Alligator mississippiensis: one gene and its partner. The protein of the gene in region 1 interacts with the protein of each later gene in a biochemical or structural test. Links are inferred from orthologs where the notes say so. Each region holds a gene or a part of one and is shown on either strand. Other genes may lie near its edges.

What was found.
Region 2: the proteins of DNM1 (region 1) and SH3GL1 form a complex in vitro, tested with the Homo sapiens proteins (2 studies listed by BioGRID and IntAct, with this or other methods). The link is inferred for Alligator mississippiensis from reciprocal best matches to the Homo sapiens genes DNM1 and SH3GL1.

What each region holds. Positions count from the first base shown.
Region 1 is NC_081835.1:57,700,502-57,708,220, forward strand, and holds the start of DNM1 (dynamin-1), read right to left. Parts: upstream 3,004-7,719; 5' UTR 2,711-3,003; coding exon 2,550-2,710; intron 1-2,549. UniProt on the Homo sapiens protein: Catalyzes the hydrolysis of GTP and utilizes this energy to mediate vesicle scission and participates in many forms of endocytosis, such as clathrin-mediated endocytosis or synaptic vesicle endocytosis as well as rapid endocytosis (RE).
Region 2 is NC_081839.1:5,309,946-5,317,238, forward strand, and holds the start of SH3GL1 (endophilin-A2), read left to right. Parts: upstream 1-4,272; 5' UTR 4,273-4,388; coding exon 4,389-4,433; intron 4,434-7,293. UniProt on the Homo sapiens protein: Implicated in endocytosis. May recruit other proteins to membranes with high curvature.

The DNA of each region.
Region 1 (7,719 bases):
ACTTTCCAGTTCTCAACTGAAAACAGTGGAGTTACACCAAGGATGACTGTGTCCCCTAATGCTTGCAAAAATCTGAAAGAAAGGTATTACATTCCCCGATACGCTGAGCGTCCCTTAGAAGAGCCCTTTCCTGGCTCAGTGGTCATGCATTATAAATTACGCCATTGCAGCAGTGCCTTCAGACAAGACTCGATAGATTTGACCATCAGCTGTTAGGGGCCACGGAAGCAGACAACCCAACAGGTTAACTAGGGTTTTATTCAGCAGTGGTTCTGGTGATCTTATTCCCTTCTCAATTAGCTTTATCAGAGTATTAAGTTTTTGGGGGCAGGGATCCTTTATTGTGTTTTTACAGCCTCCTAACACAATAGATTCCAGGTCAATGACTGTGGCTCTAAGGTTGGACAGGGATAAAGTTAGTAGCAGTATTAGTGTAAGAGCCGACTGGGGGGGGGTCTTTTCCTTGCTGTGATGCCCACAGGCACACGAACAATCAGAATGGGATCATCAGTAGGCTCCAGATAGGTCCCTTATAATCACCAAGTGAGAATCCCAGGCTGTTCTTTTACATGTGCCTATAGGATATTTTGCATGAAATACTACTCTGATCCCAGTGTTTTAATTTCCCCAGGAGCGGCAGTTATGCCTTCTCTTAAATAAGCTGTGCTGCCTACACACAGTCTTACTTCTGAGGGCTGCCCGAGTCTAAGTCCCTATGATGGGGTCTGTTCAGGTACCAAAGATAGAGCTATTTCTACTCATTACAGGCTCTCTTAACAATACAAAAGCTTTACAAGTCTTTTGTTGGCAGATAACACAGTGCAGAGGCTAGTGTGGGGAAGAGAGAACAGTAAAAGGGGAAGAAATGGGAGACTGTCAAATTTTGGGCAGGAGGGGTGTGAGGGGAGGTCTAAAACACAGCACTATCATAGCAGTTGTCTTAGGAAAATCCCTTGCAACCTGCATCATGGTCACAGAGGAAGGTAGTTCCCGATAGGCAAGAATAATCACAATGGCTACAATAGCTTAACCAGGCTACAGACAAGCTCAGAAAGATCTCCAGGTGTTGTGTCTGTGTCTTCTCTGGTTACCTGCTATTTGTTGAATTTGCTGATGATTTAATATGAATGTTACATGAAGGGAAAGCATCAATCTTCCTGTCACAAAATGGTAGTCCCCAGAGCTTACAGGGGAACAAACAACCCAATCCTTTCTGCATCTTCTCCATCAGCTCCCGACATGGCATCCACCATAGAGGACAGAAGCAGACACTGGGGTGGGGATCAAATTAAACTTAAATGACACTGTTGTTTTGCCTCTTAACAACTACCTCCATCTTTAGGGGGCTGCATAGCATTGGGGGCAAGTCTTGCACCCAGCCAGTCACAATCAAGAGCAGAGGACAAGCTGTGTTAACCTAGCCTTCCTAGCAGGCATTTCACCTTGTAGGATTCCTCAGGGTGAAACTTGTAACAAATAAGACATCTAGTCATGAAGGATGTGCTCAGATAACAGCAGGGAAAGGTTATCTTGGTATCAAACGGGTTTTGCATAGACAGTTCTGTATTTGCATGCGCAGTATTCACTGATCAGCCCTTTCCAGAACCACATAGATGATTCAATGCCAATAATGATTCAGGAGCTGCATCATTTTTGGCACAGGTTTGAGGGTCCCCAAGGTGTGATAAAATAGGAGAACACACCAATTGTGGCTATTTTCCTCAGACATTTCTACCTCCTGAGATTACATAACGGAGGGAGCCTTTGTTTGTGCTTTGCTGTATCTCTACGAGGGTGTATTGAATGTACAGACCAATCTATGTTATTCCTTCTCTCCTTGAAGCAGTGCCCTCCCTCCCATACTCCTCAGCCTGCCCCCTCCATGTCCAGCAGCAATTGTCCTCTGACAACAGTGTGAAGGGGGGCAGACATCCTTCTATCCCAGCTCCTTCCCCTGAATCCTGCCTCCCTGTCTTTAGGTCTCAAAAAAAAATAAATAAATGATTTAAGATTTAAACCATTAAATCTCCTGTGCTGTGGACAACGCATTTAGCTCCATGACTTCCTCACTCCCTCTCCACCTTCAGACAAATGGCTTCTTTTGTGCATTAGTCACTCCAGAGAAGGATCTGTGGGAACCTCTTTCACCTCCCCCTTCTCCAAACCCTATGAGAGCCTACCCAGCAATGAGGCCCAGCACTGATCCGCTGCCAATCAGATCTAACCAGTTTAGAGCTTGACACTTATACACACACACACACTTATATGCTGCGGAGAGAGACCCCTGGGCTACTGAAGGTGACAGTGTCACCGCTCATGGATTTCTGCATTATACCCTGCATTGCAATCCTAGCTGTAGAGCGTGTGCATGCAGCAGGGACTGGGCTCCTTCTACACAAACCCCAAGTCAATGGGAGCAAGATCAGCCCTCCTCCCCCTGCTTGAATTGCACTGCCTGCATATTGAGTAATGCCTTGCACAAGATACAGACACATCAGGATCCAGCACTAGAACGACCCCTAAAATCATACGTGTCTTTGCAATCTTACCTTCCCACGAAATTCTCCAGCACGGAGCTCTTGCCGGCGCTCTGCCCCCCGACCACAGCAATCTGGGGCAGGTCCAAGTTGGCATTCTGGCCGATGGCTGCGAAGGCATCCTGGAGCTTGTTCACCAGGGGGATGAGGTCTTCCATCCCGCGGTTCCCCATGCTTGCAGCTCTGCCTGGCTCTCACCTTCTAGGCTTGCAATGCAACCGCCTCCTTCTCCCCCGCTTGCTTTGCAAAAGATCTACTGGTGGGGATCGACCCCCGAGCCCGCATGGGGGGCTGTCCCCACCCACCCTTCCGTGGCCAGTGGGGCTGGCTCGCCCTCCGCCTCCACCGACCTTGCCCAGGTCCCTAGATCTCTGCGGCAGCAGCGCTGCTCCCGACTGCCAGCTCGAGACCCGCTACCCGCCGGGCTCCTGCTTGGATTTAAAGCGCAGCGACCGAAAGCCGCCGCCAGGGGGCGCCGTGATGCCTCCGGCGCGCCCAGAGCTTCATGGGACTTGTAGTTTCTCTCTCTAGTGTCCGTGGGCGGCCAAAGCGGGCTATGCAGCAAGAGTAGAATAAGAGGGATGTTTCCAGTGTCTCAGCAAGCAAAATCCTCACTAGTGGAGTTAAAAGGCGAAATTAAAATCCAGCCCTACAAGCTGAGATGTGGCACAGCTTCATGATCGCTGATCTCTTGCACGATCAGGGATACCTTGCAGTACAGAAAGTAGGAATAAGTCTGTCTTCTTTCTTTGAACCTGGAGAAGCACAAAATGATCAGTGCCCTGACTCTGCACGCTGGAAGGGCACTGTGAAACCATCCCTTCCAACATGTGAAGTACTGTCTCTGTAAATAGTCAACACCTGAAATCACTGGTCTGAAAGGTTATGTTCTTGTATTTCTGATTGGCCTTCTGTTTTTGGATCTCTGCGTTTTGCATTTCATCCGACCGGGAAGTGATCCATTTCAGTTTCTTATTCAGCACACTCGGACCTTGTTGCCATTTCCCAAATATGCAGGGAAATACTTAATAGGATGTTTCCACCGGTTCTTTTTTTCTAATTTTCACAAAGAGAAAGTCTTCCATTTCAGGGTTTGTGAAAGGGTAGCTACAAAAATAAAATGCAGGGCCATATTTACATTGGAAGTATGCCCAGGTGAAAACAGTAGTGTGTTTGGGAAAAAAACAAAGGAAGTGGTGGCTCAAGAAAATATATAGCATCTCAACTGCCATTGTAACTGAGGCTAAACGGTATTCCTGTTCCAGGCTCAGATTCAGCTGAAAGCATAGTACTTTGGCCCTTTGCCTGAGCTGCCATCTTATTTTCCAGAATTTCTGCTCTCAGTTTTTTAAATAAGTCTCAGCTATTATAATTGTACATAAAACCTCACAAATATCAGTCAACTGTGAGCTATGCAGACACACCTGTATGAAACTGCAGAGCCTGGAACTATAGCTCTGAGAGGTGTGAAATGCCCTTTTTGTATCAGGGACATGTTAGCTCAGATGTCAAATGATGATTTACATCATCCATGCTGTTAACTTTCATTCCTCACGCAAGAAAGGTAAGCGGGGAGAATCAAAGATCTGCATCTCGTGCTGTGGGTGATGCATCATTTTCAGGCCATCAGTTGGTGGTGTTTAGGAGAAACCACTACTTATTTTTCCTTCCAAGCTATCAAGCCTAGTTAACCTCAAAGAGGGCCAAGCTTAATAACCCTAGTGGAGGTTAAGAGGTGCACACAGCCATATGTTGCCAATTTCTCTCTCTGCTGTGAGCCGCCTCTCATTCTGAGGATTCATACAGGCAGAGTCTGAAATAACAATATTACCCTCTCTCCCTGGCAGACTCCTGCCCTTGGAGATATCAGCAAAGTGTGAAACAGGCATCAAGAATGCCCTCCTTCCTGTCCAAGCCTCTTTAAGGAGCAACATCATTTCAGTCTCGCCAGACACATCTTTGCAGTCCCCCTCTAGCAATCTTGGTAGGAAAGTTACCATTTGCTAGAAGCTTGCTTTAATCTGCATTTCTAATATTCCTATACAATTGATTGTATTTGATTGCTATGGTCAACATTTGTGCTAACAGGAGCGGCCTCAAACTGTGCTGATATTGGATTTTGCCCCCATCTGGCTGTTTCACATTCTAAACAGGTGTTTCACTCCGGATGAGCCTGTTCCCCAGAATTCATCACTTGGAATCCTCCTGTTCTCAGTGAGATCTAAAATTAAATGAATATACTTGTTTTTCTATTAGAAAAGGTTTGCAAAAAAGCAAACCTTTGTGCCAACAGCTGATTTTCACACTGAAAAAAAAATTAATGTCCCAGGGGAAAGGAAAGGAAACTGGATGGATTGGAGGCAACACAGAATTTGCAGCAGGATCATTTATGAGCTCTTAGGTATTCTTGCCTTTATACTGATATGAAGTTGAAAGCTGCGAGAATCAATGAACCTACGGCTCTGAGGTGAGCTCTTTATGCCCTGCCTGGTTCAATCTAATCACAGTAGCCATGCTACCTGGTGCAAGAGAGGCCTGAAAGAAAGTGCTAGGGAAGCAAGCAGAAGAAAGCAGATTCTCTTCCCAAGCCTCCAAGAAAGGAGGAAAAAGGGAGAAGAAAAAATCTGCAGAAACGGTGGCAAAGTGCCTTGAGATTTTCACTCCGAGCCTGTCAGTCACCATGAACGTTACTTTGTAAGCTGCACAAAGCACTTCACCTTTTACTGTTTTGCAGGTGCACTCGGGTAAAGGAGGATATGGCATGTGTGCATGATATCAAAGCTCTCAATTGTCAGTAATATTGCCACAGCATTAGTCTGCCCTGTCAGTTCTGTGATGATTCCAGTCATACAGATCATGGCCTGCAAAGTCAGAGCCCTAAATTTAGGTATGAAGGAAACTGAGGTCTGATATCAAGTAGAACTGCATGTGCTTATTACCTCTCAGAATAATTTTCTGCTCATGTAAAAGCTTGTGCACAGGAATGGTGTCTGCAAAGGGCAGTGTAGCAGGCTTTGTGACTGTACAGCATTGCCTTTCTAGATGACTTACACACCTGCTGTACCAGTAGTTAAATAAAAAGAGCCAAGTGATGATCCTTGGAGAAATTATCTTACAAATAAAAAAGGACATTTCCAAACAGGAATGGAAGAGAAAAAACAAGATCATTTCTAGGCTAGTAAGTGCTGCCTGGGAACAGATGAATGAAGGAAAAGGGAGACCTTTTCTTTAAGATGGTTTAAAGATCTAGGGCCATACTTTTAAATTAATCTCTAAAACTGTACCTTCACATAAAGATGCTGCTGCTTGCAGCTCCATCTACTGATGTGCTAACAGGCAGCGTGGGTGCACTAGTCAGAGCAGCAGAGACTTCTTATGCCTAAAGAAGGGTGATTGTGCCTGAAAGCTTGCTAAGAACTTTTTTTCCAGCTACTCAGTTGGTCTAATAAAAGATATCACATCTACTCAAAGAACTTTGCCTGCCCTTGTTGGGACAAATGTACTTATGCAAAGACATCTGCCAACTATGTGGCTACTGCAGTTTAAAAGCCCTTTTGGAAAAGCACATCCTTTAAAAAGTCATCCAGTAGAGCAAATGCCAGCAGGCTGCCCCTCTGCAGGAGAGATCCAGGTGTATTGTCAATACACTCAGACCCCAGTGGAACAGTATACCAGATCCCATGTAAAGATTAGTAATTTTTATAATTGCCATTGGTGTCCTGCTCACTAAGAATCTCCTTTTCAGAGATCCTGAGCCCCATGGGTCCCAGCCTTCAGCCAGAGTTGTGAATGCTCAGAATTTCTGACAGTCAGATTACAGAGGAACCTCACATGCTCTTCACAGATTTGTTCCCAGGACACTTCTACAATCCAAGGTAAGAATCTAAACTTTTAAAAGATCAGGGATGGGGATTGCCAAATGGTTCAGTGTAGGAGAGTATCTTTATATCACTAGTGAATAACATAGACATGCAAGAGGAATGTTTTTGACATAAGAACAGTTATCTGGAACACGCACATCCCCCAAATTCTTGTTTCTGCCTGTGTTGCTTTGGCAGTCAGGAAAAAATAGTGAAATAACTGCTCCATTCCCCTTCAGTTCTGAAACAGGACACGGTAGAACCCACCTCACGCTCCTCCCTTTTACAAAAACCTTCAACAATGGCAAATATCGTTGAAAGCAGATTAAATTAAATTTATCCCTGGTATAGCTCCACTGATGTCAGGACTTAAGCAAGGTAATGAATACATGTAATTTTTGTAGCCCAGTGGGAAAGGGATTTTTGACAAGCGTGCGTCTGGAAGAATGAATGACTATTTTAAGACCTGTAGATGAGTTCCCTGTGCATTTCAAATGCGGAGAGGCAACACAAAATAGTAACTAAGTCTATGTTACATCCATGTGGGACTGAAAACAGTAAATAGAAGTTACTTGGGGCTATTGTAGGGAAGGCATCATCAAAATAGTATCTAAATTTATATCCTGTGGACATTATCTATCTATAGATGGTATTCAGCAAGAAATATTGCAAACAAGTTTGTATGTTAGCTGGCTGAAGAATAGATGGTAGCATCCCAACGCTTCCTGTACAAACAGTTTGGATAACCAAGTACTGCGTATAGCTAAGTAGTCAATGCCCTGTTGGTTCCCAGCTGGCTGGTTATGGCCTGGGTGGATCAGACAGGAAAACAGCAGAACCCAGCAAATATCTATATAGATAGAGAAATAGATCTAGATGGGTAGATAGATGGATATATCTAGATACATTTAATTTGTATCCACAGCCACATTAGCAAAAACTAATGCTAAATCCAAGTGTCCAGAACCATAAGCGGCCTACTACCGGCAACCATCCTCCACCCGCATCTGGGGCTTCAGCTGTTTCCAAAACCTTTGGGAGGCATCCTACTTGCAGGCCCAAGCCCGGGGGCTTGGGGTTCAGATGCCCCTGAGTTTTGCTTGTCCTCAGCCCTGCGGCCCTCGGAGCAAGCAAGGGGGGAGACTGCCATTTCCACAAACTGGGCTTAACACCACTGCACCTCGCCAGGTCCTGATCCACGCCAGAAGAGCAGTTCTCTTGTGACACGCTTCAGGAAAACTGCCTTCTTGGACCCAGATACGTGGCATTTCCAGTGCCAGGTGAAGAAGCCGCAAGGCTTGTCCTGAGATCTAGCTCTCAAG
Region 2 (7,293 bases), on another chromosome or scaffold:
CTCATTTCCCCCCCACGGAAGAAGTGTGTGCATTGGTGCATCTTATTTTGGCTGACTCTTAAGGACTCTGGTTTGGTTTTTGAGGGTCTTTTCCTACCTTCTTAAAAAATAAATAAATCAACATTGTTGCTCTGGGTTGATGTCAGAGAAGTCGAGGTCAAAAGATGAGCCTTGCACTTCGAGAAAAAGGAAGTGCAGGTCTTTGTTTCTGGGACTCTTCATTCCACAGTCTCGAAATAGGTTCAGTGTCCTGCACAAATGAGCTCTATCTTTCTTGCAAAGAGATCTTCCTTTGCCAGAGAAATGTAGCTCTCAGCTGTGTTGGTTTTTTTTTTTTCCCTCGGAGCACTGTGTGGTCTTTTAAACATCCTGAGGCCAGACCACAGGGTGCTTTGAAGATAAGGACAAGCCTTGAACTTGATTCAAAATTCTGAAGGAATTGACTGCGCAGAACGGAAGACACCCTGGATGTACTCGTAGTGGCCTGTGGTGCTGCAGAAGTGTGTTGCAGAATTTTCTATTCATTGGAGATTCCTAGCTACTGAAGTCTTTATGCCCAGGTATACTGCATCACTGTGGTCCACTGGAGGGGTGCTGACATCTGGTATAACTGAGGCCAGCTCATAATCTGCTAGGATGGGATGGAGTTGTCCAGAAACATTCACAGAGGTTTTTGAGAGCATAGCAATATCCAGTTGCTTTAATTTGGGTGTGTGTCTTCAACTAAATGAGACTACAGCACAACCATAAATGCTTCAACTTGCTTTCATCTGTCCACCAGTGTTACCTGTTGGACCTGGATTCAGTGGCACACTGCTCTTTACTCATGATCTGGTTTCAGTCAAGCACTTGGCCCTTGGCTATGGTGGCAATGATGTGCTCATATGTGATGAAGGTCAGGGAGAGCTACGTATCACCTGCATATTGCTGGAAGATGAGCCTGTATCGTCAGACCGGTTCACCTCATTGCTGCACGTGGCTGTTGAAAAGGACCAGAGTGAGAATTGAATCTTGTGTGACTCCAAAGTTAAGGTACCATTTCCTATCACTGTTCATTTAGTGTGCCCTTCCAAATGGCACAGAGGGGATGAGAAAGATGAGAATGGATGTCTGCCCTCTGTCCATTCACAGGAGATGAGCATCCATCACTGCCACTAAACTATTTTCAGTTTAAAATGATCAATGTCGGGTTTACAACAAACAAAAGGGAATGCTGATTTACACAGCACATAAATAACTTGTGGAACTCTTTGCCACAGGACCGTGTGAAGGCTAATAGTATAATCAAGGTCAGTTTTTATGGAGGATAGGTCCATGGAGCTATTAAATACAACAACCAGGGGTGTGAACTCAGGCTTAGGATGCATGACTTTGAGCATCTGGGAGAGTATGATTCTCCACACAACCCATTTCTTATACTCTCCCTCTGAAGCTCCTTGCTACTGCTGGAGACAGCACTGAGCAAGTTGGGTCTCATCCTGGCTGGCAGTTCTTGTATTCAGTTGTGTCCTAGCCTGAGTCTGGATAGTGGTTCCATTTAGATGAGCTTGCAGGGAGCCTTTGTCTCTACAATTTAGGAATGGGAGGTGCAACATTGAGTGGCAGCTAGTTAAATGAATACATCTAGCTGTGGGGAGGAGGAAGGAGGCTCTTCCAATGTCAGTTGGACTGTGGGTGCATGAAACAGGAATCTCTGAATGGTGTGTTGGCTCTATGGGGCACCCACTGTCCCTGATTCTTTCACAGGGCAGAATGGGCAGGGGTCAGAATGGGCCCAACTCCTTTAAAGGTGTCCAGAACTTTTTGGTGAGTGAATGTAGTGAACTCCAGGAGTGCAACTGGACTCTGAGCTGGTGGTAGAGATACAGAGCCATGCTGTTTGGCTTCTTAAAAGTATACGGTCTTTTCAGTGAAGTAGAACCATAAGCCTTTGCACCACATGGTGCTTAGTTCTGAATCAGGTTGCAAACAGTCAGGACAGATTAAATAGTTCACCCCCTAGCTTGCTTTCTTGTAGTAGAATCTGGCAGCTATGATGGAGGCTGATAGGAAAGTTCTCATGTGCTGTAAAACAGCCTTAGCAAAAGCCTTGAGGAAGTTTTTTCATTTTATCTTGTCTCTGAATTTGAGTTTCTGCCATTCTCTCTTTATCTGGCAGCGAATATCAGAAAGCTAAGGAAACTGAATGAGCACAAGCGGGAAGGGGCCTTTTTGAGGTCAGTATCTCAGTGGTCAAGGTTAGTGTATGATGATAATTCACTGAGTCCTCAATTCCTTAAATTTACATCATTGTAATAACAGAAATGCATGGAAAAAGTAACCTCCAAACACACAAAAAGGGGCTGTAAGACTCTTCTTCCAGGATCTGTCACAGGGGCATATTGCCGGGGGCAAAGGAGTTAAAATTTGGGGTGAAAGAGTACTTGTGTTTGTAACAGATAGTTTTGTGGCAGTGTTTCTATGCTGGGGTTGGACTTAGATGAGCCTTGAGGTCCTTGTCAGTTCTGTGATTCTAAGAGTCTATATTTTTTCAAGGTTGCAACATAGTCACACCAGAGAGAAAACTACATACAAAATGTTGCCATCACTTATCACTAGCTTCTTACTCAGCTGTAATTCAGGCATATTTCTGGCAACAGAGAACTTTTTTCTTCCAGTAACTTAGAATGTATTGTGAAACATGAAACGCGCATAACCAATCTTTATTGCAATCAAAATAATAGCTCTGAGAGTGCCAGCACTAAACAGACTTTTCAGTCCAAACACTGCAGGCTGTACACTCCACTGGCCTCTTTGTTCCTGATTTTGGTCTAGTTCTGTTGTTAGAATTAAGAACTTACTCTCTTTGGTATTACAAAAAGACTTCAACAAACAGAACATTTTGATTTATGAAATTAAAACCTGGAACATATTGGATGTCCTCCTTCCCCCAAAATAATGCTGGGATAGCACATAGAGGGAAAAAAAAACTCCCAGGAAAAGTTTATATTGTGTTGGACAAGCCGGAACAGATCATTTTAAAGTAATAATTTCTCAATCTTGTAAGCACTTACGTGCATGTTCGATGCATGTCAGTATTCCCATGTACTTAGCTTCGCTATTGTCAAACCATCGGTGGATTATTCTTAGCAGTGGAATTAAACGCACACATAAAAGCTTGTAAGGTGAGGGCTGTGGAGATAATGGGAATGACTTCTGACAGTGCATAAGGGTAAGGGTCTTTGCAGATGAGTGAGGAGTGGTGTCTATCAGTGGTAAACCTTTTTTGTACCAGGACCGCTTTGTAAACATCAGTGGCCAGTCCTGACCCAGTAAATAGTTTAAGTAGAAAACATCCCCCTGGCCCTGCTGGTGCCCCTTACTCCCGACCTGCTACCCCACCCCACCCTGCGAGGAATGGGGGAGCCCCAAGCAGAGCTGGAGCTCTGCCAGCCAGCAAGGGAAAAGCCACGGTTCCCCACGTTTTCCCCCTTTAAAGGAGAATCCATTTTTAAAGTTTGTTTCTGACCCTTTCGTATATTTTTGCAACCCAAATTTGGGTTGTGGGTTGAGAAACGCTGGTCTATGTTTCCAGTCCTGGGAGCTGAGAAGTCTCTTAACCCCCGCACCTGTAAGTGGAGATTGCAAAGTGCTCTGTGCCTGGCTTTTTACCCCCACCTATAAAGCTTTTATCCCTATAATAAAAAATATCAGATTTACCCAAAGAAACTTGTCTGCCTATGTCTGTACACTAACACGGCTACAGCCTATACCCCTCTAACCCTACACAGCTTTTATCCCTTAGAGGAATCATGAATGAGGGTGCACGCTAGCGAGTACCACATGCGTTGCTAGCTCATGGGAAGTGATGCTAAGCGCCGTGAGGATCAGATTAAGTCTTGATGGAAGTAAGAGCACCAGCAGCAATAGTAATGACAGGGAAAGCACAAGGGCCCCGGGGGCCTGGTGCAAACAGAGGCTGTCGGCTAGGCCTAGGAGTGGGACCTCACTCATAACTGATGGAGCTGGAGCTATTCCCAGCATCAAGCGCCCCAAGACGGGGACACCCGGGACTGGAGCCACGTGCCAGCCCCAGCCCCAGCCCGCCCTGCACTTCCGGGCGCTTCCGCAGGGGGGCAGTGCCCTGCCTGGCGCCTCTCTAGCCGCCGCGCGCCGCTCTGTAGTACCACCGGAAGAGCGGTGCTCTCCCTCGCGTCTCTGTGGTGGCGGCCGGGCCTTGCTCCCCCTGTCGGCAGAGGCGGGGCGGGGCGGGGCGGGATCCCTCCGCGGCCGGCCCACTTCCGGCTGCGTGGGAGCGGAAGCGGCGCGGGCCGGAGCGTCCGCCGTGGGGGGGTGTCTGTGCGCGTGTGCGTGTCCGCGGGTGTGTGTGCGCGCCCGCCCGGGGCAGCATGTCGGTGGCCGGGCTGAAGAAGCAGTTCTACAAGGCGAGCCAGGTCAGCGCCCTCGGGCTCGGGCTCCTCGGCTGCAGCCGTGCGGGGAACCGGGGGTGTGAGTGTGAGTGTGCGTGTGCAGTCCAGGTGTGCCAGGGTGTGTGTGTGTGATCCAGATGTGCCAGGGGTGTGGGCGCATCTGGGTGCGTGTGCAACCCAGACATGCCAGGGGTGCGTGTGCATTTGGGTGTGTGCGTGCGTGCCTGTGTGTAATCCAGAAGTGTCAAGGGGGCCAGGGTGTACGTGTGTGCTGTGTGCGATCCAGAAGTGCCAGGTGTGTGTGGGTGTGCGATCCACACGTGCCTGGGGGGGGGTTCGGGTGTACGTGTGTGATCCAGTGTGTGATGCAGGAGTGCCACGGCTGCATGCGTGGGGGATGCAGAAGCACAAGGTGCTTGCGTGTGTTTGCGTGCGCAGGGTCAGGAAGGAGGTGCCGGGTGCGTGTGCAGCCGTGATGCCGAGGTCTTGGCGGCGAGCTGTGTTGCCGCGTGCGTCCTGGCCGGGCAGGGACCGTCGTCCGCGGATGCCGCGGGGGAGCGGGAGGTGCCTTCCTGGCCCAGGGGTCACCCCGCTCTCCTAGCCTGCTCTTGCAGCCCCTCCGTGCAAGGACCACGCTTGCTTTCTGGGGAAAACGATGTGCTTGGCTGTAGGCTTCCTCTCCAAGGAGGCAGCAGCTGAAACAGATGGCTGCTTCTTGTCCGTACAGCCACGTCTTCTTTCTTTCCCTTCATTCCTAAATGCTTTCTAGCCACCCTTGCTTGTTGCTTCCCTTCCCATCTGTCCGGTCTCTTTTCACTAGGCACTCGCTCGTTCAAGAAGTGAAGGAAGGGGGTGGAATAAATGACCAGGGGATGTGAATTTCCAGTTCAGGGGTTCAGTGTGTATTGTGTTTTCTTCTAAAATGAGATTAATCACGTTGCAAGACTGTAGCAGAGACTCGCGTGCACCGCTGAGACAGTCACGGCATTTGTTACGTGGTCAAGGCTGAAATGCTGGCATGTTCCCTTGTTTTGCGTGAGGAGGCATAACGGAGAGAAGTTGTCCACAACCACATTCAGTAGCAATGTTTTTGGTTCTCCCGGCCAAGACAGAAATTAAAAATACTCTGGTCTTCCTAAACGTGTGTAATTCCTTGTCAGTCAAGGATCAGATGTGGCATATGTCACTTCAAATTGCTGATCCTAGCCACAAAGGAAGCATTAAGATGTCAGTTACCTATTTTTAAACTCTTCGTTTTTCCTATGGTTTTATGTCATTACCATGATTTCTCATTAATCCTTAACTCTGGAAGATGACCAGGAAAGTACTTCCCGTCATGTGAAGTTTCCCTATGGTTCTTCCCATGTCTAATGTGTTTTTCAGCCTTGTACTGCATTGCTTTGTGGTCGCACTAGCCACGTTTCCTTTGGACCTGTAAGTGAGATGTGTATCAGAGTGGCTCTTTGCTAGTTCTGCCCTGAAAGTTGCATTGCTAAAAGCTGCTTTTCAGAGGAGTGCTGCAAGTATCAAATGAGAATTTACTTCTGTCTTAAATACCTGTCTTCCTCCAGAGAGATCTTGCATACAGTGTAGGAACCGGTTTTGTAATGGCCACTTTGTGAAGGAGTTGCAATAGTTTTCTGAGCAAAAAGGACAGCTTAAGAATAATGGACAAGAAAACTCCAAATGATCTACCAAACGCGGTGATCAGTGACTCTTTTTTTCCTGACCATTGAGTTATTTATACGTCTTAATTTAAAAACAGGGAGTTGGAGGGGAAGGGCTGTGAAGGATCCAAATGGAGTGGATTTCAGGATGAAAGATAGGGTTATAGTTAGGAATAACGTTTCTTGTTATGCTTGGGGTCCAGGAAAGCACAGCAGCAAACTGCAGCTGCAGCATAACCCCAGGAAATTCTCCCTTCCTTGCTTAGTAGCTGGCATCAGGAACTGGAAAGGATTTTGTGGTGTGCACAAGTGACACCATCCAAGCTTTCGGCCCCTGTGGTTTTGTGTGCATGCGTGAGACAGGAAATGGCAGCCTTAAGATTCTGCGGAAAACTGTCAGATAGGCACATTTTTAGTGGTTTATTAGCAAAACAGAACTATTGGAAATCTCCCTTCCTGAGGCAGGTAGGAGCAGCGGGCCTTGAGCTTAAATTTGCAGCTGGGCCTTGTATGAGGGATCCCTTCCCACTCATGCAACGATGCACAGTTCAGTGATGCTCACAGCAGCCTAATAAAAGGGAGATTGGGTTTGTGAATCCCTCTTCCCCATCCTCTTGGCTGCTGCTGACCTTCCCTGCCAGAGAGGCATTATCCCTGTGGCTTATTAATTTGTAATTATCTGAGGAATGCATCAAGGAACAGTGAAACTTTGTGGGGAGGAACACCCCTCTGGCTCTCCCTGCGCAGCATACACGCCCCATTTTAAATTTAAACCAGTTGAACATTGTGCTGCTCTGCCCAGAGTGCGCGTGTGTTTTCCAGGCATAAAAGCTGGAGCACTTCAGTGAAGTGCAGCTGAATCCAAGTCTGTTTGCTAAGTGGCGTTCCCTCCTTCCTTGGCTACAGTTATGAAAAGGCATTTTGCTTATATGGCAAAACAAAGGGCTAGATTCCCGCAATCCTCATCCCCCATGCTCCAGGAAAACCAACCTCTTGATCATGGACTTCTTTTTATTGTTTTAAAACAAAAGTCTAAGGGGAAAGGCCTCACTGGGAATTTCTTGTTGGAGTATTTTACTGTTGCAAATCCTCTGTGATGAGTTAGTGGGGCAACCGGAGGTGAAAGTTCACTTCTGAGTCAAAAGCAACATGTAACTCCATCAGTCTGGATCATCGGGGAGACTTCATCAAGTGAAGTTGCCTGAACTGAATTGAAT